Linked DNA regions of Ovis aries. The protein of the gene in region 1 purifies or fractionates together with the protein of each later gene. This does not show direct contact. Links are inferred from orthologs where the notes say so. Each region holds a gene or a part of one and is shown on either strand. Other genes may lie near its edges.

The links.
Region 2: the proteins of SNX4 (region 1) and SNX7 purify together in Homo sapiens (affinity purification with mass spectrometry; 3 studies listed by BioGRID and IntAct, counting the BioPlex papers as one, with this or other methods). This does not show direct contact. The link is inferred for Ovis aries from reciprocal best matches to the Homo sapiens genes SNX4 and SNX7.
Region 3: the proteins of SNX4 (region 1) and SNX30 purify together in Homo sapiens (co-immunoprecipitation; 4 studies listed by BioGRID and IntAct, counting the BioPlex papers as one, with this or other methods). This does not show direct contact. The link is inferred for Ovis aries from reciprocal best matches to the Homo sapiens genes SNX4 and SNX30.

Annotation. Positions count from the first base shown.
Region 1 is NC_056054.1:190,788,534-190,796,980, forward strand, and holds the start of SNX4 (sorting nexin-4), read right to left. Parts: upstream 4,858-8,447; 5' UTR 4,828-4,857; coding exon 4,687-4,827; intron 4,063-4,686; exon of another isoform or gene 2,832-4,062; coding exon of another isoform or gene 2,817-2,831; intron 1-2,816. UniProt on the Homo sapiens protein: Involved in the regulation of endocytosis and in several stages of intracellular trafficking. Plays a role in recycling endocytosed transferrin receptor and prevent its degradation.
Region 2 is NC_056054.1:76,030,295-76,038,192, forward strand, and holds part of SNX7 (sorting nexin-7), read left to right. Parts: intron 1-112; coding exon 113-311; intron 312-4,611; coding exon 4,612-4,811; intron 4,812-7,898. UniProt on the Homo sapiens protein: Involved in the regulation of endocytosis and in several stages of intracellular trafficking. Together with SNX4, involved in autophagosome assembly by regulating trafficking and recycling of phospholipid scramblase ATG9A.
Region 3 is NC_056055.1:10,861,701-10,869,598, forward strand, and holds part of SNX30 (sorting nexin-30), read right to left. Parts: intron 6,260-7,898; coding exon 6,064-6,259; intron 3,546-6,063; coding exon 3,346-3,545; intron 1-3,345. UniProt on the Homo sapiens protein: Involved in the regulation of endocytosis and in several stages of intracellular trafficking. Together with SNX4, involved in autophagosome assembly.

The DNA.
Region 1 (8,447 bases):
AGTACATGTGTACTGACTATGATTTAAAACGCATTCTGCACCATGAGTTGCCTTCAAAAAATAACTGAGAGCTGCTGAAGTAGAAAGTGAGGAAAGCAATTCTTGAGAATTATTTAATAATCTCCTGTGCTGTGTGTGCTTAGTCGCTCAGTCGTGTCGACTCTTTGCAACCCCATGACTGTGGCCCACCAGGCTCCTCTATCCTCGGGGGCTCTCCAGGCAAGAATACAGGAGGGGGTTGCCGTGCCCTCCTCCAGGATATCTTCCCGACTGAGGGATTGAACCGGGGTCTACTGCGCTGCAGGCGGATTCTTCACCAGCTGAGGCACCAGGGAAGCCCTAAGCTGATAAATTCTGTAACTCTGCCTATACATTTCCTTTTTCATATTATCTTTACCACAAATGTCTCAAACCCTCCTCCACTAACTTCTGGACTCCTTCACTCAGCTTTCTGCCGCCACCCTGTGAAGGAACTAACAGTGTACAGGCACTGTTCAAGCAATGGCTGCTCAAGCACTCTTAGCCCCAGGAGCACTCAAGAAGCCTAAAGAATCCTCCCTACAAAAGAAAAGACACTATGAATACCTCAGGCAGCGCTTCTCTGAGCAAATACTGTTAACTGCCAACTCAATGGAATTTTCCAGCCCAAAAAAAGCAGCATTTTTACCCCCATTCCCTTGCTGCGTCCTCGCCAGGACTGATTGCTACTCTCTTGAAGACTGTGGTCCTCCCTCATTCTTCATATTCCAAACTTCTTTAAATAAAACCAACAACACTTAAAAAAAAATACACTCTTCTTTGTAAGGAAAAAGTACAGAAAGAAAGGGAAACTTCTAACTAGACATTGGAAAGGAAGAGGACAAAGACTCACAGAAATAAAAACAAGAGAATGAGAGTTTACAACCGAATTTAAAGAATGTTAAAATTAGGGATGTTTAAAACTGGAAAAGATCACCTTGGCAGTGCATGTTTCCACTATCCCTCAGTGTAGGGCAACTAGCACAATTTTCTCTCCAACCAAAATGCAGAGTCAAAAATAAGGCTGATGAGGCTTTTTGTCATTTCTCCACACTATCAGTATATATGCTTTTATGGTGAAAAAGTTACTGATAAGTCAACATATTATTCAGAGCTCTTTTCTTCTTAAAATAACAACTTGAATCTTAATAAAAAAAATATTTAAGTATAGTATTTTACAATTTACAAGACTATTTTTAATCTTTTTTTTTTCTTGGTGGTGAGGGGGCAGGGAGTGAAGCTTTATGGTTTCATGAACAGAGCACTGATGTCAAAGCCACAAAGATTTGGGCCCAAATCCCAGTCATGTCACTAGTTTGTGACTTTGGCCAAATTACTTCTCTCAGAGCTTCTGCTTCCTTATCTCTGTATGTCTTTTATGTCTTTTGGGAGTAATTTTGAAAATTAAATGAACAGTAGAGCCTCACAGTGTCTAGCACAAACAAATGTAATTTACCTGTCTGCCCAGACCACATTCCTATCTACCAGTAACAGTAGCAACATGGCTATGGTTACTGCAATACTTCTCAACTGTGGATGGATTAGAGTGGAAGAGGGGACAGAAACAGGAAAAGGAGTAGATCTTCTGAGACTGCAGACTTTTAGAAGGAGGGGACAACATGTAGAGTGTATGTGGATGCACATGTGTGTGTTGATAAGCTCCAGATGATTCTGAAATATTTGTCCAAATGGCTTGTATTTCTAAAAGTTACTAAATTATCTCTATAAATTACCAAATCATTGTTTGAGGAAACCCTAAGCTTGGGCAATCTCAAATGGTCTCTTATCACACATTTAAAAGTCAGATAATATTACATAACTACAACTTTTACTGTATGATGGCATCTTTGGGATTTCAAATATCTTAAACTGAACACAGGTTTTTTACTTTAAATGAGATATTTATAATCACTTAACACAAATGGATTTTATACTATAGTTGCAACTTCATATTAGTTAACCATCCAAAGGCTGTCACAAAAAAAATTACCAAAATGTTCAGTCATTATCAAAATTAAACTCACAATTCAGCTAACAAAAGATATGATTCTCACCCTTTGAAACAATCTAAAATTGCTTTAACACATATCCACATGGTTGGCAAGTAACTTAAAGTCTGAAAATATTAAGTGCTGATAAGGACAGACAGCAGCAGGCACTACTGATGCGAATACAAACTGGTATGTTCACTCTAGCAAACAACCTGGCACTACTTACTATGCTACAGTGCTACCCAGGTGGCACACTGCTGAAGAATCTGCCTGCCGATGCAAGAGACCTGGGTTCAATCCCTGGGTAGGTAAATCCCTTGGAGTAGGAAACAGCAACCCACTCCAATATTCTTGCCTAGAAAATTCTAGTGGGCTACAGTCCATGGGTTCACAAAGTCAAACATGATTGAGTGGCCGCGCGCACACACACACACACACACCTCTATGTCTTATGCTGCTGCTGTTTCAGTCGGACACGTTTCAGTCGTGTCCGACTCTGTGCGACCCCATAGACGGCAGCCCACCAGGCTCCCCTGTCCTTGGGATTCTCCAGGCAAGAACACTGGAGTGGGTTGCCATTTCCTTCTCCAGTGCATGAAAGTGAAAAGTGAAAGGGAAGTCGCTTAGTCCTGTCTGACTCTTAGCGACCCCATGGACTGCAGCCTACCAGGCTCCTCTGTCCATGGGATTTTCCAGGCAAGAGTACTGGAGTGGGGTGCCATTGTCTTCTCCATGTCTTATGCTACCACCCTATGATCCAACAATCAACTTTTATGTTTATAGACACTTGCACTATGTATTTCTTACATGTAAGAAGTTCATAGTGGTAGTTATCTTTCAGGAACAGCAAGAATCTTGAAACAACCCTAATGTCTGTAAAACGAGGAAAAGAGAAATCAACTGTAGAATACCTACAAAATGGTATACTATAGAGTCATGACTATAAAAACAAACTAAGTTACATTTTGGGTGAATCCCCAAACAGTATAGAGCAAAAAAAGGAAGTCATAGTAAAACTAGTTCGATTATGTAAATTTCAAAATGAAGTAAAACTAAACAACATGTTGTTTAGGGACATTTACATTTATATATATATTTAAAGCTAGAAAGTTGTTAATACAAAATCCAGAATATAATTACTTCTGTGGTCGAGGGAGCGGATGTAACAGGAGACTATAAAAAGGTTTCAAAGAAACTGATTTTTATTTTGTGAGACTCTTCTCTGCATTAATTATAAACTTCACAGTAAAAGTTGTTTTTTTAAGAAACAGAAAAACTAAGTCACAAATAGAATCTCCATTAAAAAAGCAATTCATGTAAGAGTCAAGTTTATGGACTACAGAATACACACACTGCTCTCACATTTCATATAAGATACCTCGCCACAAACAATTCTATAATTTAGGAAGAAAACAAATGAAAAACTTAAAATTCACCCACAGAAGTTTTCATGCTATCCTATACCTCGACATTTCCCCCAAGTAGGCAAAACCTTGAACTCCTAGCTAGTTAAAATAGCTAGTGGTGAAGTGTTGAACTTCAAATAGTGTTGAAATTCCTAGCTAGTTGTCTTTCTAGTTACAGTCAGCCAACAACTTTTAACTTTTCTTTATCCATTTATCACAAGGATGGGCAGTTTTATATTGATAACTTGTTTCAGAAAAAAAACAACCAAAATGGATGAGCACTGCACAGCCTCATTAGGGTGGTCTGATGATAAGTACTCGACTGAGTTTCCAAATCACTTTATTTAACATGGTCTACTCATCTTGCATTATGCGTGGAAACACTTTGGAATGAAAGTAATTACAAATATAAAATGATGCATTTCATCCTTCTGTCAAGCAAATGAAAATCACTATCAAAGGAGCTTCACAAAGCCAACAAATGGGATATCCATGACACATCTCCATTGGGAGATACGGCACTGACCCCAAATGAGGAAATTACAAGTCAAATAAGATTTTGGATGGGGGGAGGTTCAAGAGGGAGGGGACATATGTATACTTACTTATGGCTCATATGTATACTTACTTATGGCTGATTCACGTTCCTGTGTGGCAGAAACCAACACAATATAGTAAAGCAGTTTTATTATTCTCCAACTAAAAATCTATTTAAAACCACACAAACAAACAAAAAAAATCTTTTTCACTTGTACCTTTTCTTGACTCTAACACTTTATTCCATCTCCCGATGGTGGCACCAAGCCAAACACCCTCGTGCCCCAAACTTGTTCCTCAAGTCCCCCATTCTCTTCTTTCTCAAACACCGCTGCCACCGCCCACGGTTAAGCCTACTCCTCCGCACAACTTATAGATGCCAGAAACATCAGCGTTCCTCTTCGGGTCCAACCCCCCGGGGTTCCCAACCCCGAAACCGCACCTGCCTCAGCCTGGCGCTTTCCGGGCCCCGCGCCCGCGCCTGCCGAGCCGCGCCCACGGCCGCGCCCTCTTCACCCTTCCTGCGGTCCCGCAGCCCTGGCGCTCGCCCCTACTCAGAACCCCCTTTTCCCACCAAGCCTCCCCCCACTGACTGCACCCCGCTTCCCCGTCGCCGCGGGGCCTCTCGGCCGAGCGAGCCCACCCGCGCGGTCAGCGTAAACCAGTCCATTCTGCCCTCTAGGCCGCGCCCCAGGCCGCGGGGGTGGGAGGCCTCTGCCGCCCCTTCTCCTCACCGTGCCGTCCCCGGGGCCCTCGTCCCGGGCCCCTTTCGTTTCCTCACCGACCATGGACTCCAGCCCAGCGTCGGGGTGGCTCAGCGGCTCCAGCGGCGCGGGCTGCAAAAGCCGCTCAGGGTCGGGAGCTGCCTGCTCCATTGCTGCGGCTCAGCGCAGCGGACACAGTGCGCCGGCGCCGCCTCGCCTGGACCGGCCCCGCCCACGGCCGCCGGCCAGGCCCCGCCCCCTCGGCCTGCGGCCGCCCCGCCCCGCCCCGCCGCGCCGCGCCGCGCCGCGTCTAGCTCACGGCCAAGCAGACTGAGACCGCTCATGGGCTAGGCCAGCAGCTGGGGATGGTACTTGGGAAGGGCGGCGTACCAAGGGTACTTGGTACGCGGGAAGTGGTCAGCTCCCGAGCCAGGAGACTCAGGAATCCGGGAGAACCGGTGCAGGGAAAGACAGAAAGGCAAGGGGAAGGTGAAGACAGGGTGGGTGCTGGAACCACTCAGGTTGGTGATCACCTAAAGAAAACTTGAAATCGGTAGAAATCAGTGGCTGTGATCTGACGTCTCCCTCTTGGCCTTTTATCTTGGTTCCTTTTTTGGTTTTTTTATATTGGTTTATATTGGTTCCTTTTTGGCCCCACCCCCACCCCCTAAACACACACCCAGAAAGATCGAAGCCGCGTATCTCACTAATTTTCACCAGGTTGAGTGACACAATCAGGAAAAGGTAAACACTTTTCAAGTGTTTGAGAAAAGTGAAGCGCTTAACTGAAGCTGTGTTTGAGTTCTATCTTCAAGTGTTTCTTGAAGCCCTGGTGATATCTGATAATTTTCTATAAACACTTCGGTTGAATTTTCGGAACCTATTTCCTAGGCAAGTATTCACTGTGATAACCTGACGGGAAACGCTCACTGGGTGTACCAGACTGTGGTACTTTGTAGTACCTTGTATAGGAAGTCTGGTCGTCAAATTTTCAAGGAGAGAAACTGATCTTTCTGTCCAAATAACTTAGCTGTTCGAAGCGGTGACACGCAGTTTTCTCCTCCTCCTGATCCTTCTTTTGGCATGGTAGCGATTTTTCCCATTCATCCCTAAAACCTCAGGTTATGTCCAAGTGCTAATATCACTTTGTTCATAAATCAATTACGACCTTTTTCATACTTCTTTACAATTTACAATTATTTATTTATGTCTGTCTGCCCCAACTAGACTTCAGACTCCTTTAAAGCAAGGACCCTATTTTTTGTTCTTTCTTACCAAGCCTAGGACATTTACTCAATAAATGTTTAAAGGCATTTAGGACTTCCCTGGTGGTCCAGTGGTTAAGAATCCACCTTGCAATGCAAGGGACACAAATCCAATCCCTGATCCAGGAATATCCCACATGCCGGTGAGCAACTGAGCCCCCGTACTGCAACTACTGAAGCCCATGTGCCTAAGTCTCGCTCAACAAGAGACGCCACTAATGAGAAGCCTGTGCACCACAACCAGAAAAAGCCCATGTGCAGCAACAGAGACCCACCCCTGCCAAATAAATAAGCAAAGCTTGAATGTTGCAAGGCATTGAAACAGTTTTTCAGGGAATATCCATGCTAGGCAAGTTCTTAGGGTTTTTGTGTGTGTGTGTGTGTGGCCTCACTGTGTGACTTGTGGAATCTTAATTTCCCCACCAAGTATTGAACAACCCTGGCCCTTCACAGTGATAGTGCTGAGTCCTAACCACTGGACCACCAAGGAATTTCAAGGAACCATTTTTAAATCAGAAGACTTTATTAATTTATTATAGGAGAAACAGATATCAGGGACAGATTTGTATCTGTTATTTTGTCATTCAGTTGCTAAGTGATGTTCAACTGAGACCCCATGGACTGACACATGCCAGGCTCTTCTGTCCTTCACTGTCTCCAGGAATTTGCTCAGATTCATGTCCATTGAGTCAGTGTTGCTATCTAGCCACCCTTCTTTTTTTTTTTTTTTGTCCCCTTCTTTTACCTTCAGTCTCTCCAGGGTCTTTTCCAATGAGTCAGATCTTCTCATCAGGTGGCCAAAGTATTGGAGTTTCAGCTTCAGCATCAGTTCTTTCAATGAATATTCAGAGTTGATTTCCTTTAGGATTGACTGATTTGATCTCCTTGCTCTCCAAGGGACCCTCAAGAGTCTCTACTCTAGCACCACAGTTCAAAAGCATCAATTCTTTGGTGCTCAGCCTTCTTTATGGTCCAATTCTCACACCAGTATGTTACTACTTGAAAAAACATAGCTTTGATTATATGGACCTTTGTCTGTATCTGTTATACTGTGCCCTTTTCCCAGTTTTGAGATACCCAGGAAACTAAGTCCTAGAGCCATTGGGATAATTGCTCTGGGCTGGTGACTTGAGCATCACACCTTGCAGTGAGTAGTGTTAAAAAACCATAATTCAACTGAGTAAACTTTGAAAGTCAAGCGCCAGAGAATTGATGCTTTTGAACTGTGGTGTTGGAGAAAACTCTTGCAAGTCTCTTGGACAGCAAGGAGATCAAACCAGTCAATTCTGAAAGAAATTAACCCTGAATATTCATTGGAAGGACTGATGTTGAATGTCCAATACTTTGACCACCTGATGCAAAGAGCCGACTCACTGGAAAAGATCCTGATGCTGGGAAAGATTGAAAGCAGGAGAAAAAGGGGATGACAGAGGACAAAATTGTTGGATGGCATCACTGACTCAATGGACATGAGTTTGAGCAAGCTCCAGGAAATGGTGAAGGACAGGGAAGCCTAGGGTGCTACAATCCATGGGGTTGCAAAGAGTCAGGCACAACTGAATGATTGAACAACAACAAACTTGGAGGATCTTTTTGGCTTTATTCAACAATTCATGGATCAGGCAGCATCCCATCTAAGCAGAGAGAAAGGCACTCCAATGAGCTGTACAAAGTGGAAGACTTAGGAGGGAACAAGGGCAAGGAAGTTATACCAGCAAAAACTGAACTGCTGGTGTTAAGGACACATTTCTTTTGAGGATAGTATGTCTAAAGAACAAATCACCTCATTAGTACTGACCAAGTAATTCCTGATTGACAAGTTTGATTCCATTTCGGGAAGAGCTGAAACTGTAATTAAGTTAAATATTAAGTCCTGTTTGATGACGTGGGGTTAGCATAAGTGACCTGAGGCACCTTTCCTTGATTATGAAGGTAAAGTCACTACACTGGCTAAAGTCTAGAAGAGCCCAAGACTAACTCGGTGGAGATTTCAGATGTTCCCCATTCTTCTGATTCAGACTGGAGGATATCTACCCCAGCACTTCCCTCGGGGAGGGCCTGAATGGGAAAATCTCAGGAGCAGGGTTATCTAGCCAGGGTGGTGTAGTCACCTTCTATGTGGACACACTCCCCACCTCATCCAGCCAGAGGAAATTCAGTTTCTTACATCTGGATAGCGTGATTTAAGCTCCCATTTTGTCATGGGTTTAACAAATATTTATTGAGCTCTGCTATTAGCCTAGGATCTCAGAACACCCATTCTTGCTCCACATCATCCAAGTTCTGTGCTCCCCTCCCCAGGATTCTCCTCCTGTGTCTGGCCAACCCTTCAGGGTCTGTGAAGGTCATTTTCTTCTTCCTCTGAAACTATACCCTTCTTCTCCTTGAACAGCAACCAGCCCCAACCCCTTCCATCTCTCATTTTAGTGTCATTGCGGGTGACATCAGCTTCATGTATTCTGAAGATGTTTATTAAGTACATACAAACTTACGATTATTGTGTATTTCTAATGGAACTGATCTTTT
Region 2 (7,898 bases), about 110 Mb from region 1:
TTTATTCTGATTAGATTTCTTTTTTCATTGTTGGATCTTAGAATATCATTGTTTGCTTCATCACAGATTTTTTTTTTTTTGTTTGTTTGTTTGTTTGTTTTTTTATTCCTAGGAATTCTCTTCTCACAAGAAGCAAGGGCCTGGATTACTCAGTAGGATGGGACAGTCAGTCAGAGCGGTTGCATTGTCAATGAGAGGAGTTAAAAGTCGCCCCGAGGAGTTCATGGAAATGAATAACTTCATTGAAATATTTAGCCAGAAAATAAATTTGATAGATAAAATATCTCAGAGAATCTACAAGGAAGAACGGGGTATGTAGAACTGCTAAACTGTGATCTCAAAGTTGTTGCATTTCTGATGAATCTTTTTCCATTTGCTGGTGTGGTAAGGCAGCATCAACTTAGCATTTCTTTTTGGTCATTCTTAGGATTACTGTCTCTGCTTACAGTGCCCATCTGTTATTGCATGCTGTTTACTGTATCTAATTAGGGCCCTTAGCATATTCATCATAGTTGTTTTAAAATCATGCTCTAATTCCAACATCTCTGCCACATCTGGTTCTGATGCTTGCTCTCTATTTAAATTGTGTTTTTTGCCTTTTAGTATGTCTTTTAATTTTCTTTTGCCCATGGTAGCCAGACATGATGTACTCATAAAAGTAAATAGGCCTTTAGTAATGTGATGGCGAGGTGTGGGGAGGGGAAGCGTTCTGGAGACCTGTGGTTAGGTCTCAGTGCTTTCATGAGTCTGTGCCTTGGACCACTGTGAGCCTCACAGAAGTTCAGGGTTTTTCCTTCCCCCTCTTAGTTGAGACAGGATGACCAGAGGAGGCTCAAGTTGAGTATTTCCTTTCCTCCAGCTCAGTTGTGCTTAGTCACTCAGTTGTGTCTGACTCTTTGTGACCCCATGGACTGTAGCCCCCCAGGATCCTCAGTCCATGGGGATTCTCCAGGCAAGAATACTGGAGTGGGTTGCCATGCCCTCCTCCAGGGGATCTTCCCAACCCAGGGATCGACCCCACGTCTCCCACATTGCAGGCAGGTTCTTTGCCCACTGAGCCACCAGGGAAGCTACCAGGTCAGTTAGCCTCTGATAATACCCCAGCAGGTAATGCTCTGGGTAACCAGTTTCCCACAAGGGAAGGCCTTGTTAAAAAGAACCCTGGCTATTAGGTAGAGTACCTTGGCTATTACAAAATGGCTTATTTTCTCATCTCCTGCAGGAAGCAGAAGTAATTTTTGCCTGATATTTACTGTGCAGGCTTTTGGAGGTAAATCTCACAATATTGTGGGATTTCACCCATGGCTAGTTTCCCTGGAGTTTTTAACTCCTTGAATTGTCCACACTGAGACTCCAGCAATTCATCATTGACAGTTTCAGTTTCCCAGCCTGGGCACTGGCTGGGCATTCCTCTCTGTTTTTTGTTTTTAAAAATTTTTATTGGAGTATACCCAGGTATGCCAGTGATAAAGAACCTGCCTGCCAATGCAGGAGACGTAAGAGATGCAGGTTCAATCCCTGGGTTGGGACGATCCCCTGGAGGAGGAAACGGCACCCTGCCCCACTATTCTTGCCTTCTTACCTGGAGAATCCCATGGACAGAGGAACCTGGCAGGCTACAACCCATAGGGTTGCATTGAGTCAGACATGACTGAGCACACACACGCATTCTTATTTCCATTTATAAATAATAGGGATAAAGAGCTTAATATTTTGGGTGTAGTCAGTCTCAAATGTTCAACATGGGCCATAATTTTAATCAAAGAAGTGATGTTTCAGGAAATAGGGTTTCCACATTTGCTTGGGCGGGGGTGGGGGAGGAGGTGCAAGAACTCTATATTAGATCTGTCCAAGCAATGGCAGAGAGATTTAAAATAGATCTCTTTTCCTATTTTCAAGTTAGATTTTATTTCATGATTCTATGAATTCTATAAATTCTATGATGAGTTTTTGCCAACTTAGATGGCTAAGTCTGACAATAATTTGATTTATGCCTTCTTGGTCTTTGTATTTACCATTTGTAAGTTTTAAAAAAATCAAGAAGATAATTGTTTTAACTAGGTTTAGTGATTCCAATTCTATTAAGTGAATTCTTGATGGATAGTTAAGTGGTATGGCAATTCAAAGAAACCCCTGGAAACTCTTGACATTTAAGAGTTCTACAGAATATCAAATAGCATCATTATGTGTTATATTTACTGGGGCAAGGGACTAGTTTTCAAATCTCTGATCTGCTCTAATATTTGTGAAATCCTCAAAAGGAAAACTGGGTTTTTGTGGTGGACTTTATAAATTTGAGCTCTCAATTTCAAGGAGTGGAGGCACACTGGCACAAACTTAAGGGATTTCTTGGTCTTTCGAATGTAAAGCCCATTTTTCAAGATTTCATTTAAAATGATGGGGTGTTTTTTTTTTTGTTTGTTTGTTTGTTTTTGAGTTCTGGGAGTCTAAGCTATATAAGGCATTTCATATTTAAATCATGAAGAATTTGTTTATCATAATGAGTCATTTTTCTTTTGACTTGCTTTTATTCCTTTTTTTTTCTGTGACTTTGTTTTGTGTTCCCTAATTAATTAGGCAAATTTGTATTGACCACATCATGTGCTAATGCTTTGTGCTAAAGATTGAAGGAGGGTTAAAATAGTATCTGTCCCTGAGTTCACAGTCTAGTTGGGGAAACAGATATATTAACAGACAAATTACAGTGCAGCTCAGTAAGTGTTTCCATACAGATGCAATTTGAGTGCTTATACAATTTAGAATTTCAAGGAAGCTCTTTATATTAAAATAAATACTTTACAGGGTAAATAACACACTTTGATATATGCAGAAATTAAGAAAAGAAATAAAGGAGAATGTTTTCTTTTCTAGAAATATTGGGGCCTCCCTGGTGGCTCAGACAGTAAAGAATCTACCTGCAATGCAGGAGACCTGGGTTTGGTCCAACGGGAATATACCCTGGAGCAGGGATAGTGTCACATGACCATTATCTAAAATAAAAGATAGGCCTAGATCAGGAGGATGCAATTTGGAAGGATCCTAGTGGTTGTCAAACATAGTATCTTCTTTAGGTGATAATAGTATTTGTATTGTTTTTAAATCTTTAAAGTCTTTTTTAGTTTACCTGATCATATAAACTTTTGAAAAATGTAATAGTTTAATAAAAAAGTTTAATTTAGAGCAATATGACATATTTCAACTAACCCCAATGACTAATAAGATGATTAAATATAGAGAACTTAATTATACTTATGTGGGTATTAGACCAAAAATTCTCACTATTCATGCATCCTCTACCATAAAAAGCCATCTGTCATTCAACATTGATAGTGTGAAAGCAAATGTATAAAAATATTCAGATTTTAAAATGAAATCCAAATTTTTGGATAAATGGTTTATCAAGCATTGAATAGTCTTTTGTTCATTCTTTCATTGATATGAAAATATTTATTAAATACATTATGTATTAGGCTTTGAGATTAAAAAAATAATGACTCTGCCCTATTGTAATGAGCGTATGGCCTTAGAGTATGTGAGTTATGCAAGCAGTTATAATAGAGTGAGATAATAGTATTAAATTATGATAGGCTTTAATAGAACCATAAAATTATGACACTCATTGAGGACAAAGCATCTACAAATCCTCTGGAACAGAAACGGGAGAGATTTACTTGTGTTACGACTTCAAGTGTGAGAAGTAGTTTGTCAGATGATAGGAATGGTAGAGGGCAACTGAAAGACGTGTGCAGTGTTTAAGTTAGGAGAAATCATGATATTCATGAATGAGCTGTTATTTTGGCTTGAATTAAAATATCTGTGAGGGAGATTTTTCAGGAGTTAGATCTGGAGAGGCAAGGTAGGGACTGAAGGACTTAAAGGCCTTTCTAATTCAGCTAAGAAGCTTTAATGTTCATATACTGTGACAAGAATTGAGAGGGAGAATTGTTAGAAGTCTCTTGCAGGAGCACAGGTTAGAGATGCTGATGATGGTGCAAGTGAGGATAGGTAGATCGGTGGGGAGATGGATGGATGGGTGGGCAGATAAGTAGATACAGATTTAGAAAGACTGGAATTAGTGATTGACTGTCTCTTTGTAGGTGTCAGTTTAGGGTGCAGGATGACCCCACAGTTTTTGCTTAGATCTCTGGAAGCAATTACCAGTAACTAGGATATGTAAACAGGAGAAGAGGAAAAGAAGACATGTTTTGTTTACATCATGTTGCCAGTGAAATACTCAGGTAGAGTTTGTTTGGTAGGCAGAAGTCCATGATACAGTAGACACAGTGATCATATAATTCATTGCCCAAGCCAGGATACTTTTGACAATGAAAAAGCATGTTATTATTGATTACACCTGGAAAGCTTTTATTCAAGGACTGTTCTGAGCAGACTGGGAGGACAGGTCAATTTAATGAAAGACGATATCTGCATTAATGTTCATCTACAAGAACATGCACACAATGAGAAAAATAAGGTCTTTTCTTATTGTCTATAATATAGGGATTTTTAAACTTATATACATTTTCATGTATTTTAAGTATATAATTAAAGTTATGTTGAAATATATATTGAAAGAGCATATTATAAATTGAAGAACTTATTATTTTTTAGAATATTTAGATGAAATGAAAGAATACGGTCCAATTCATATTCTGTGGTCGGCATCAGAAGAAGATCTGGCTGATACTCTAAAAAGTGTTGCCAGCTGCATTGACAAATGCTGTAAGGCCACTGAAAAATGGATGTCTGGATTCTCAGAGGCCCTGCTACCTGTCGTACATGAGTATGTGCTTTATAGTGAAATGTTAATGGTAAGGACTCCTAACTATACTTCTACCTGAGTCCCTGACTTGCTTTATAAGCTTTATAAAGGCAGTTTCTGTTTCAGTTTGTTCATCACTATCTTCCTCTCATAGAAAGATGCTTTGCATGTAGATGCTCATAAATATTTGTTTACTGCATGAATGAATTGATGAGTAGAAGAATATGTTAATAAAAGACAGGCATATTCAACAGTAGTAACAGTAGTTTATAACATAGGTTTGAAGCATCCTCAGTCAATATTTACATAGAGAGTATGATTAGTTTTTCCAGTGTTTTAAAATTTTACTTTCAGAAATTTCAGCACTTTAGAAATTCCTTTTCATGGACAAGTTGCTTTCTTGCTTCTAGGTACGTTTGAAAGATGATATCCACATTCTTAATGTTCATGTACAGGAACATGTGCCCAATGAGGAAAAATAAGGTCTTTTCTTATTGTCTATAATATAGGGATTTATATGAATATACATTTTTGTTACATTTTGTTTTCATATTTGTATGAAAATCCCTAAAATATAGGGATTTAGTATGTTTTATTTTGTTTGTATTGTTATGTAGAAAGTACTTGAGTAGGATCTTGATGTTTGTTCTGTCTTCTGGATGCTTCTAAAGAGAAATCCTCCAAATTACCATGTTTTTCTTTCATGACTTGAAAAGGCTTTTATTCCTTTTATATCAAAGTTTTACGTGTAACCTCCTAAGTTCCAGTTTAGGTCTCCAGATATTTGGGATTTTGTGATGTTATCTGCAAAGCTAATGTTTTTCATCCTGTATTCTCTGCATAATACCTCACACAGTTGAACTGACACCCTCAGCTTTCTGGTGTTGTAGATGACAGTGGTGGAATAAGTCAGTTTGCATTGCCTGGTAGTCCATTTTTTCCTGCCATTTATGCTTGAATCTATGGTTTCTGTTTTCATGTACTCTTGATTTGGGAGGATTTAAAAATTTGTTTTGCTTCTGTCTCGGTAAGAAAAGCTCTCTCAACCTTTCAGCATAATATCTGCCTCTTTCATGTTTATTATGTTTAGATTTTCCTTCACAGAATCATTAAATATTTTGTTATTCTGCTGTTATTTGACTTTGTCAGGGTCCTCCTATAAGCACATCCTCCCTGCTTCCCAAAGTCCTCTAGTATTTTACTGTTGAGGCACCTCTGCTTTGCCTCCATCAATTTCCCTTGGCTACATTCCATTGGTTTACTTCATTATTGATCTCCCTCTTGTGTGGCTATTCAAAGAGATCTGATTTTTATCATTAAAAATATAATATTATTTTCCCTTAATTATATGTGTTTTGCTCTTTATTATGTCAAGATGGAAATTATGCAGTTTAAATCATGTGTCATTAAAGGTGTGGAAAAATGATAATAGCAACCAGAATTGAATTATTTTATAAGTCCTCATTTGATTGTATTATTTTGTAGGTTCCCAGGGTATAATCAGTAGCACTTACATTGCAGATCTGTTTCTGTTTTATATTGGAATGTTTTCTTCAGTGTGAGCTAAAATAATGAAAAGTATATGCTTTGACAGAACAATTAAATTTTTGCTGTTTTTACTAGTTGTCTTCTGAAGCCACCTCTTACTTAAAATATTTCTATCTATATGAAGCACAATATTTCATATTGATGGAAACAGATCTTAATGGGACTAAATTATTGCATGTGCCATTTGGGTTAGAAAATGGAAGGAGTTCCTGACATTAATGGCAATTAAACATTGAAGTAAATATAAAAGAATTTGTGACAATTAGTTGAATTTTCTATTCATTTCTTTGAACACAAGAGAGTTGTTAATCTCTTTGAACATTTTAAGAGTGATTCTACCAGGCACAAATCTAGGGTGAGTTATTTTCAGGACGCTTTTTATCCTTGTGTGCTGTGCTTTGCTCAGTCACTTCAGTCATGTCCAACTCTCTGCAACCCCTTGGGCTGTAGCCTACCAAACTCCTCTATCCAAGGGATTCTCCAGGCAAGAATACTGGAGTGGGTTGCCATGTCCTCCTCCAGGGAATCTTCCTGACCTAGGGATCAAGCCCTCATCTCTACATCTCCTGCAATGGCAGGCAGATTCTTTACCACCAGCGCCACCTGGAAAGTCAGCTTTCTATCCTTAATGACTCAGTTTTCACACAAATACTATAGAGCCAGCTTGTTTGGTTCCATTTAAGTGATTTGCTGTTTAGGTTTTTCTCTTCCTCTGAAAACACCCAAAAGACCTGTACCACATTAAGGTTCTTCTCTTATACGTCCTACAACTCCACTCTTCCTGGTTGAACTGTTTGCTTGCTCAGAGTTAGTTTTATTTTTGCCTTGAACTGTTTAGGCCACTTGTGTTTATTATTACAATTTCACTATTTAATTAATAGTATGAAAACCAGTGAAAGATGGGTACAAATAGTCTTTGCATCTGCAAAGCCCAGGTAGACTGTCTAGAAGAAAAGTGAGTCACCAAGGGAAAGACATTGTAAAATGCTAGAAAACATCGTAAAAGATGTAGATGAATTCTGTACTTAAATGCCTTCACAGGGGTGTTTTAACTGAAACATAAAATCATGATTATTCAAGTAAGTAAGGTGGAACTCCTATCAGTCAGAGTAGAGGCCATATTTCTTCCTTAAAAGCTTGGCTAATTGGTTAACACTTACGTATTTTAAGCTAAAATAAAATCTTAAGATGTGAATGCATACTTCCATTTTGATTCCCCACTGTAATTGACTTTGTTTAGCTATTAGCTTTTGGAGTCCAGTAAGAAGGCTGATTGTAGATACTTTCAGATGCGTGGTGCATATGCATTCACAACTGCAACTAGTTTACACCATAGCATGTATTTTCAATGCTTCTACTGATTTTATGTTATTGTTGTTAATTTGTTTTGTTCTTTGGTCTTTTTGAAGAACTGTACATGCCTAGAGTATACCACCAAAACATTTGTATTTTGTGCATAAAATACTTACATCAGTAATAGGCACATTGGGAAAACTAATAGAAGATTTATGAACAAGTTTCTTTTAAGTGCTTGCTATCTGTTTAGCTTTTAGAGATTAAAAACATTTTAAGGCATTATACCCCCAGA
Region 3 (7,898 bases), on another chromosome or scaffold:
AAATCAGACTGGACCTGGACTTTATCATAGTAAGTGAAGTTTAAGTCAAACAGAGAAAGATAAATATCATATTATACCGCTCACATGTAGAATCCAACTTTTAAAAAATGACACACAAGAACTTATAAAACAGAAACAGACATATATATCAAAAACAAACATGGTTAACAGAAGGGAAACATGGTGATCAGGAGCTTGGGATTAACATGCATATAGTACTATACATAAAACAGATAACCAAGAAGGACCTACTGTATGGCACAGGGAACTCTACTCAGTATTCTGAAACGACTGCTATGGGGAAAAGGTCTGAAACAGAATGAATATATGTATAACTGAATCACTTTGTTGTATACCTGAAACAAACACAGCATTGTAAAATCAACTATACTCCAAAAAAAAATGTTTAAGAAAAATTTAAAATAAAGTCAAGAGATCGTATGGCAACGAAATGATCAGAATTTTTAAAACAATTGTTGGGTCTTCAAACCCAAACCTCGTAGCTACATCCTACACCTCGAATCACGATCAGCAGCGACTTCCGCATTATTAAGTCTGATGGTCACTGCTTACCATGTTCTTTCTAACAGTTGTTTCTCTGGGCTTCACTAAGGTCCTCCTCTACTCTTTCTCCTAGCACACTGACCACTCCTTCTCAGGCTCCTTTCTCCTACTTGTCCAGCCCCCTAATTAGGTGTCAGACCGCTAAATACTGGAAGATGCAGGAAGAGTCCCGGACTATTTGCCTCAGTCTCTTCTCACCAGACGATCGCCCCAACTCTCACAGATCTAAATGCCATCTATAAACAAACCACTCCCAAATTTCTATTCCTTCTGAACTCATAACCAGCTGCCATGACAGCTCTACTTCAATGTCTAATAGGCACTTTTTTTAAACTCAGTATGGCCAAAACAACTTGATTCCCAACTGTTCTTCTCTAAACTTCTGCACCTCACTAAACAGGACCTTTATCAACACAGTTGCTGAAGCCCAAAATCCAGGAGTCATCCTCAAATTTCCTCATGTCTCACTTCACATTGACATAGCAGCAAGTCTAGCTGGTCCTGCACACAAAATATACCCCAAGTTTGCTCACTTCCCCAAGCTCTACCCTCAGTTATCTGCTACTCGGCTCCCTGCAACACTTTCCTGATGGCCTCCGGACCTTTATCTCTCTCTCCCTCCCCCCGACCCTTTCTCTCCACAATCCATTCTTCATTATTATAGCACCAGCTGTCTTCCTAAAGTACAAACCATAGCCTGTCATTTCCCTGCATGAAACCAAATGGCTTCTCTTTTATTCCTAAGAACAAAATCCAGACTTACCAACTATGACCTTTAAGACACTACCGTATATCTCCTCACATCTTATCCTTTACTTATCTGACCTCCCCACCTGCCACCCATTCCCTTGCTCAGCTGGCTCCACTTGCATTGGCCTTTACCTTATCACTCTCTCCCTGACTCTCATCTCACTAGTTATCAGCAGTACTTCTGAGATAAGCATGTTCTTTGACTTGCTACATGTAGATAAACCTACTACAAGTTATTAAAAATAACAAGATAGGTGTCATACAATAGTTAGATATCTGTAAACATTCTAAATGCACCACACTGTCAGCTTCAATTAAATATTCACCGACTACCTTCCACGAATAAGGCAGTGTGAGATATGAAGTATAGGGCCCTTCCCTAACTTTCTTAAATAAAGTTTCTCCAACTCCTGGCCTGGTCATATTGACACCAGTGCTCAAAAAGCACTGCTAGGACTTTGCTAAAGACTCTAACGTGTTCTCTCTCCCAGCCCATCACTATCATAGCCATATTTTATATACATGCTGTGTATAGAATGTGAGCCCATATAAGGGGCTCACCTGCAGATGTCTACAGCGTGTTTGAGTCCTGGGCCTGAGGTTAACTCTGGTACCCTTCTCTCTCAAGCTCTGTCCACTCCACAGTGTTCTTGGAAGCACACATCCTCAGCCACCAATCCAGCACAAGCTGCCTTCACTGTCCACTGACCATGACCCATCAGTTCCACGTGGGCTCCTAGGGCCATTTGCTGTGCTCTCTCTCTGCCTCTGAAGGGAACAGAACGTGCCGTGCCACGAGGACACTTAAAGACAGACAAGGTCCGCCTCAGCCTTGACAAGCAGGAACTGACCCAGTTTCTCTCGCCAACAGTAAAGGCATGAATATAAGGTGGCTGCTCATTAGAACTGGGACCGTGGAGCAGAGAAAAGATCTACCTGTGAGCCTCTGCTTCTTCATCTATAAAAATGAGCCAGCTAGCCAAGATAAACCTTGCCCACCATCACAGGAGTCCCCCGCAGCTACACTCTCCAACTGGTCTAACTGCAGGCTGGGGCAGTTTCTAATGCGGACATTAAAGCATTTGATCCTGTACCTGAATCTTATCACTTCTGCCCTAAAAGTTTACAATGATATGCTTTGGGTTGGTTTTCTGTCCAGTCCTTTTGCTGGGTAATCACCCTGTCCTTTTCATCTAAAGACTTATGCCCTTTGGTTTAGGGAAACTTTCTTGTATTGCTTCTTTCATAATTTCCTTTTCTCAGTTTTCTCTGTCCTTTCAATCATAACTCTTATTAGTCAGACGCTGAACCTTCGAGATGAATCCTCTACGTCTTTTATCCTTCTTCCACATTTTCAGTATTTTCGCATTTTTGTTCTACTTTCCAGCTACATTTTTTTTACAATACTTCCCAAGATTTCCTCAGCCTCATTTTCCAACTGTGCTCTTCAATTTTATTTTAGCAACCACACTTTAACTTCAAAGAGCTCTAATTATTATTCAATTGCTCTTTTCTCACAACATACTGTTCTTAATCAGATGTTACATCTCAAACACTCAGAGAACTCTAGCTAGCTCCCCCTCTAAGATTCTAGTAAGAATCTCTTTCAAACTTTCTTTTTTTTTTTTTTTTTTCATTTAATTCACATACTTGGATTTACCATGTGTTCTTTTTACATGTTCAGGAAAGAGGTCAGTCCACATGTCTGACCCTGCCCATCTAGGAAGAAGGAAACCTAAGTGAAGTGAAGTGAAGGTCGCTCAGTCGTGCCCGACTCTGTGCGACTCCGTGGACTATACAGTCCATGGAATCCTCCAGGCCAGAATACTGGAGTGGATAGCTGTTCCCTTCTCCTGGGGATCTTTCCAACCCAGGGATCGAACCCAGGTCTAACCACATTGCAGGCAGATTCTTTACCAGCTGAGCCACCAGAGAAGCCCAATACCACAAGCAAATAGGCAATAACCAATTAGTTTTTGGTTAATGACAACAAAGAAAGTACCTAGGTGCACAATGAGGGAGCCAGCTTACCTTCATGGAGTCAGAGTATAAAATATATTCCCTGAGCACAGGTAGAAAGTCCTCCGTCATGTCATCGGTCAGTTCCTCCAAGGCTGTAGAGCAGTTGCCGATGCAGGCTGACACACCCTCCAGGGGCTCGGCCAGCTCCGCCTCTAGGGCGCTCCATGTGGAGTACACGGGCCCGTATTCTCTCAGCTCTACAAGGTACTCTAAAAGGGGAAGAGAAACCAGTTGAGATCTGGCTGGGCAAGAAACTGTGGAAAATTATGAAAGAGACTGGAATACCAGACCACCTGACCTGCCTCTTGAGAAATCTGTATGCAGGTCAGGAAGCAACAGTTAGAACTGGATATGGAACAACAGACTGGTTCCAAATAGGAAAAGGAGTACGTCAAGGCTGTATATTGTTACTCTGCTTATTTAACTTATATGCAGAGTACATCATGACAAACGCTGGGCTGGAAGAAGCACAAGCTGCAATCAAGATTGCCGGGAGAAATATCAATAACCTCAGATATGCAGATGACACCACCCTTATGGCAGAAAGCGAAGAAGAACTAAAGAGCCTCTTGATGAAAGTGAAAGAGGAGAGTGAAAAAGTTGGCTTAAAGCTCAACATTCAGAAAACGAAGATCATGGCATCTGGTCCCATCACTTCATGGCAAATAGATGGGGAAACAGTAGAAACAGTGGCCGACTTTATTTTGGGGGGCTCCAAGGTCACTGCAGATGCTGACTGCAGCCATGAAATTAAAAGATGCTTGCTCCTTGGAAGGAAAGTTATGACCAACCTAGATAGCATATTCAAAAGCAGAGACATTACTTTGTCAACAAAGGTCTATCTAGCTAAGGCTATGGTTTTTCCAGTAGCCATGTATGGATATGAAAGTTGTACTATAAAAAAAGCTGAGTGCCGAAGAATTGATGCTTTTGAACTATAGTGTTGAAGAAGACTCTTGAGAGTCTCTTGGACTGCAAGAAGATCCAACCAGTCCATCCTAAAGATCAGTCCTGAGTGTTCACTGGAAGGACTGATGTTGAAGCTGAAATGCCAATACTTTGGCCACCTGATGTGAAGAGCTGACTCATTTGAAAAGACCCTGATGCTGGGAAAGATTGAGGGCAGGAGGAGAAGGGGACAACAGAGGATAAGATGGTTGGATGGCATCACCGACTCAACAGACATGAGTTTGGGTAAACTCTGGGAGTTGGTGATAGACAGGGAGGCCTGGCGTGCTGCAGTCCATGGGGTCGCAAAGAGTCAGACACAACTGAGCAATTGAACTGAACTGAAAGGGGGAAGAGAAAAACCAGCTGAGATCTGGCTGGGCAGTAATCGCTGGTATTACTGACTCAGTAACTATTGCAGCAAAGAGCTCTCTGAGCATGTTTCCCTTTAAACACAGCACTGATGGTAACAGAATATTTTTTACAATCTCTGTAAGCTGATGTTGTAGCTAACATCACAACATCAGTCAACTCCACTCCATAATGGAAATGTCATGCCTCTGGATAATGGGAGCCCCCAAGCCTTCAGGGGGAAAGTGCTGGGAGTGACATCCACTAAATATCTTCCAAAAAACTTACTCACCTACTCCTACAGTGAAGCAATATTTTGACAGGCCATGGAAGCAGAGTTTCATATAGGTTTAGGGGGATGTTTTCAAAAGGGAAAAAAAAAGAAAATCAGTCACAATGGAAAACCAATCGAATTTTAGGAAATACTTGATATAAGAAAGTGTGGGCTTACATAGGCAGACTCTCTTTCTCACTCAGGGGTCACCGCAACACCTTGGGCCCATCAGAATTTACCCCACATGATCTTTAGGTGTGGATGGTACCTAAAGCCATCTCTAAAACCTGCAGGCCCACATAAGACCAGCAGCAGGTAAAGGAGAATTAAAACACAGGGGAAAATATTATTTCTCCTCACAAAGAAAATCTGGCCATCAATTGTCACCAGGATTCTTGCCATTACGATAAAACGTTGCTGCCATTTTTCAATAACCAATGGACTGCAGCTACCGGGGAATCCTTTCCTACGTTTCACATCACATGCCAGCATGATCACACATAGTGTTTGGGTGTGTTTGGCCTACACGTGTGTAAGAAGACAAAAGGCCCCCACATTCTGGGATACAGAAAAGCAAGTGGCCAAGAGAGGGGTGGGGATGAAGCAGCGGCAGCAACCAGGAAGGTTAAAGAAAGGCCTGGAACTCTCAGGAAGAGTGGGCTTGAAATGAAGCCAAGGCGAGGCAGGTGAGTCAATTTCAAGTCTGAAACCTCCTTAGGATCAGAACTTTGGCAAACACAGGCTGTCCTTCTCAATCACCTTTCTGCCAGAAAAGATACTCGTTTAATTTTTAAATGATCGTCGCTATAGATGAGAGAGAGGATGGCATCCAACCATCTCATCCTCTGGCGATGGAAGAAGGGAAATCAAGAGAGAAAACTAGAAAAGCCTAGTGGCTCAGAGTGGCTGTTTGTCGTGGGGAAATCAAACACAGGATGAAATGCAAGGCCAGGGATGGAGTACAAAATTCCCCTCTGGTCTCAACTACCTCCCCCGCTCCGTATATATACGTGTGTGTGTTGGTTTCACGAGGATAGTGTGGCCTGGTTCTGCCACCCCAGCATTTCAGCAGTTTGATTCTGCCTGGCACACACGAGTGCCATTTCTGCAAACATGGTTCGCGGGCCTGATCCAGACCTTGACACACAGCTCACCTATTTCTTCCTTGATGATCCGCTGGGCTATTCGATCGATGGTTCCCAGCTTGAGCGCAAACGTGTCTAAGTACTCGCCGATGGCTGCGAATTCAAGAGGCCGATTTCTCAGCTTGTAGCCGCCAGCGACATGCTTGACCGACTCGCCCACTCGAGTCAGCAATGCCATCCCTTGCTTCTTGTGGGCGTTCAGGTCCTAAGGATGACACACGAAGAGACAGACTCAAAGGGCTCACCCGCTCACACAGCCAGGATTCGGTAAGCCAATTCCTTTAGGAAATGGAGGACTCCGAAAATAAGGGACTGGGGATTCCCTGGTGGTCCGGTGGTTATAAGTCCACCTCCTGATGCAGGAGATGTGGGTTCAATGCCTGGCTGGGGAACTAAGCTCCTGTATGCTGCGGTACACCTAAGATGCAACACAGCCAAATAAATATGTATTTTTAATTATTAAAAAGCAAAAGAAAAGTAGCCGAGTTAGGTAAGGCGCTAACCACACACACACAGACACACACACGTCTCCTCCCGTGTCATCGCGGCTAACCACACACACACAGACACACACGTCTCCTCCCCTGTGTCATCGCGGCCACCGCGCTCACACCCCTGCTCCTGCACACCAGGTCTCTTTCTCCAGGGCTGGACTCCTTCCTTTCCAACAAGGGACACTGACCCTGCACACGTTTCTTTAAGCACAACTGTTGAAATACAACTTTTTTTTAAAGAGTCCCTTTCTCTTGTACAAAATATCCTAAATTGTCTTTAGGAGCAAAATTCAACAGCTGAGATTCATTCATTTATATCCAATCGAAGCCACATAAGGGACGTAGAGGGTGGGAGGCAGGACGCAGTGACAGGAAAGGCCGTGCGGCAAAACCCAGCCAGCGCTCTGCGATGCTAGAAATCAGGCCAGCGTTCGTTCTAGGGAGGAGGAGGGCGGGAGTGACTGGGACGGGGGCTTCCAGGGTGCTGGGGATTTTCTGTCTTGATACAGGTAATGGTCGCAAAGGGCGTGTTCATTTTCTGATCACCTATTGAGCTATGATTGGCGTACTTTTCTGGACGTGTGTTCTCCTTCAGTAACAAACCTGAAGACATTTTAAACATCAGTTCACCTTGCTTGGCCCACAAATAAAAACCACACATACACACAAAAAAAATACCTTCCTCCTTATTTTTCACACAAATTCCTAGTGACCAGGGATCCAAGCTTTCTCCTGCTTTGTCCCTTTATTCAGTAAAAATGATGAAACTTGAGGGCTTGCCTGGATGAAGAACCTGCAATTTGGGTGAAACGGTGTGTTGTACTTCTGGAGAACAGGGGGGAGTTTACTTTGTGTTTACTCTGGAAGAACTGTGCCTGAGGAGCAGTTCACCAGGAAATATTCATTTTTAAAAAAAGAACACAAGTTTGAACTGTGGAGGGAAGGCTTCCAGGGAAAAGAGAAGATGAATAAGAATGTCATCCAGGAGGTTGAGTGCCAACTGAGGTTTGGGAAAAAGGGGGAAAAAAATAAAAACAAATCGCAACACTGGCGGACTCTGGCATGTGGTCCTCACTGTCTGCAGAATGGCATCCCCCTAAGGTCTTTACGTCAGGTGACACTGTTTGTAAATATTTCTCAATATGGGATTTTGAAAAAGAAAACTGGAAAGTACCTGGACCTAAATATCCTTGCCAACGCGGGAGGAATTACCTATGGCCTCAACATGAGACTAGGAGGCATGAGCGTAAAGGGATGGGGGGTGGAAGACAGCTGGCACGAGAGTCTGAACACGAGCTCTCACTTCCGCAGACAGACAGAGTGGAGCACCTCGGGTTCTGGACCAGTTCT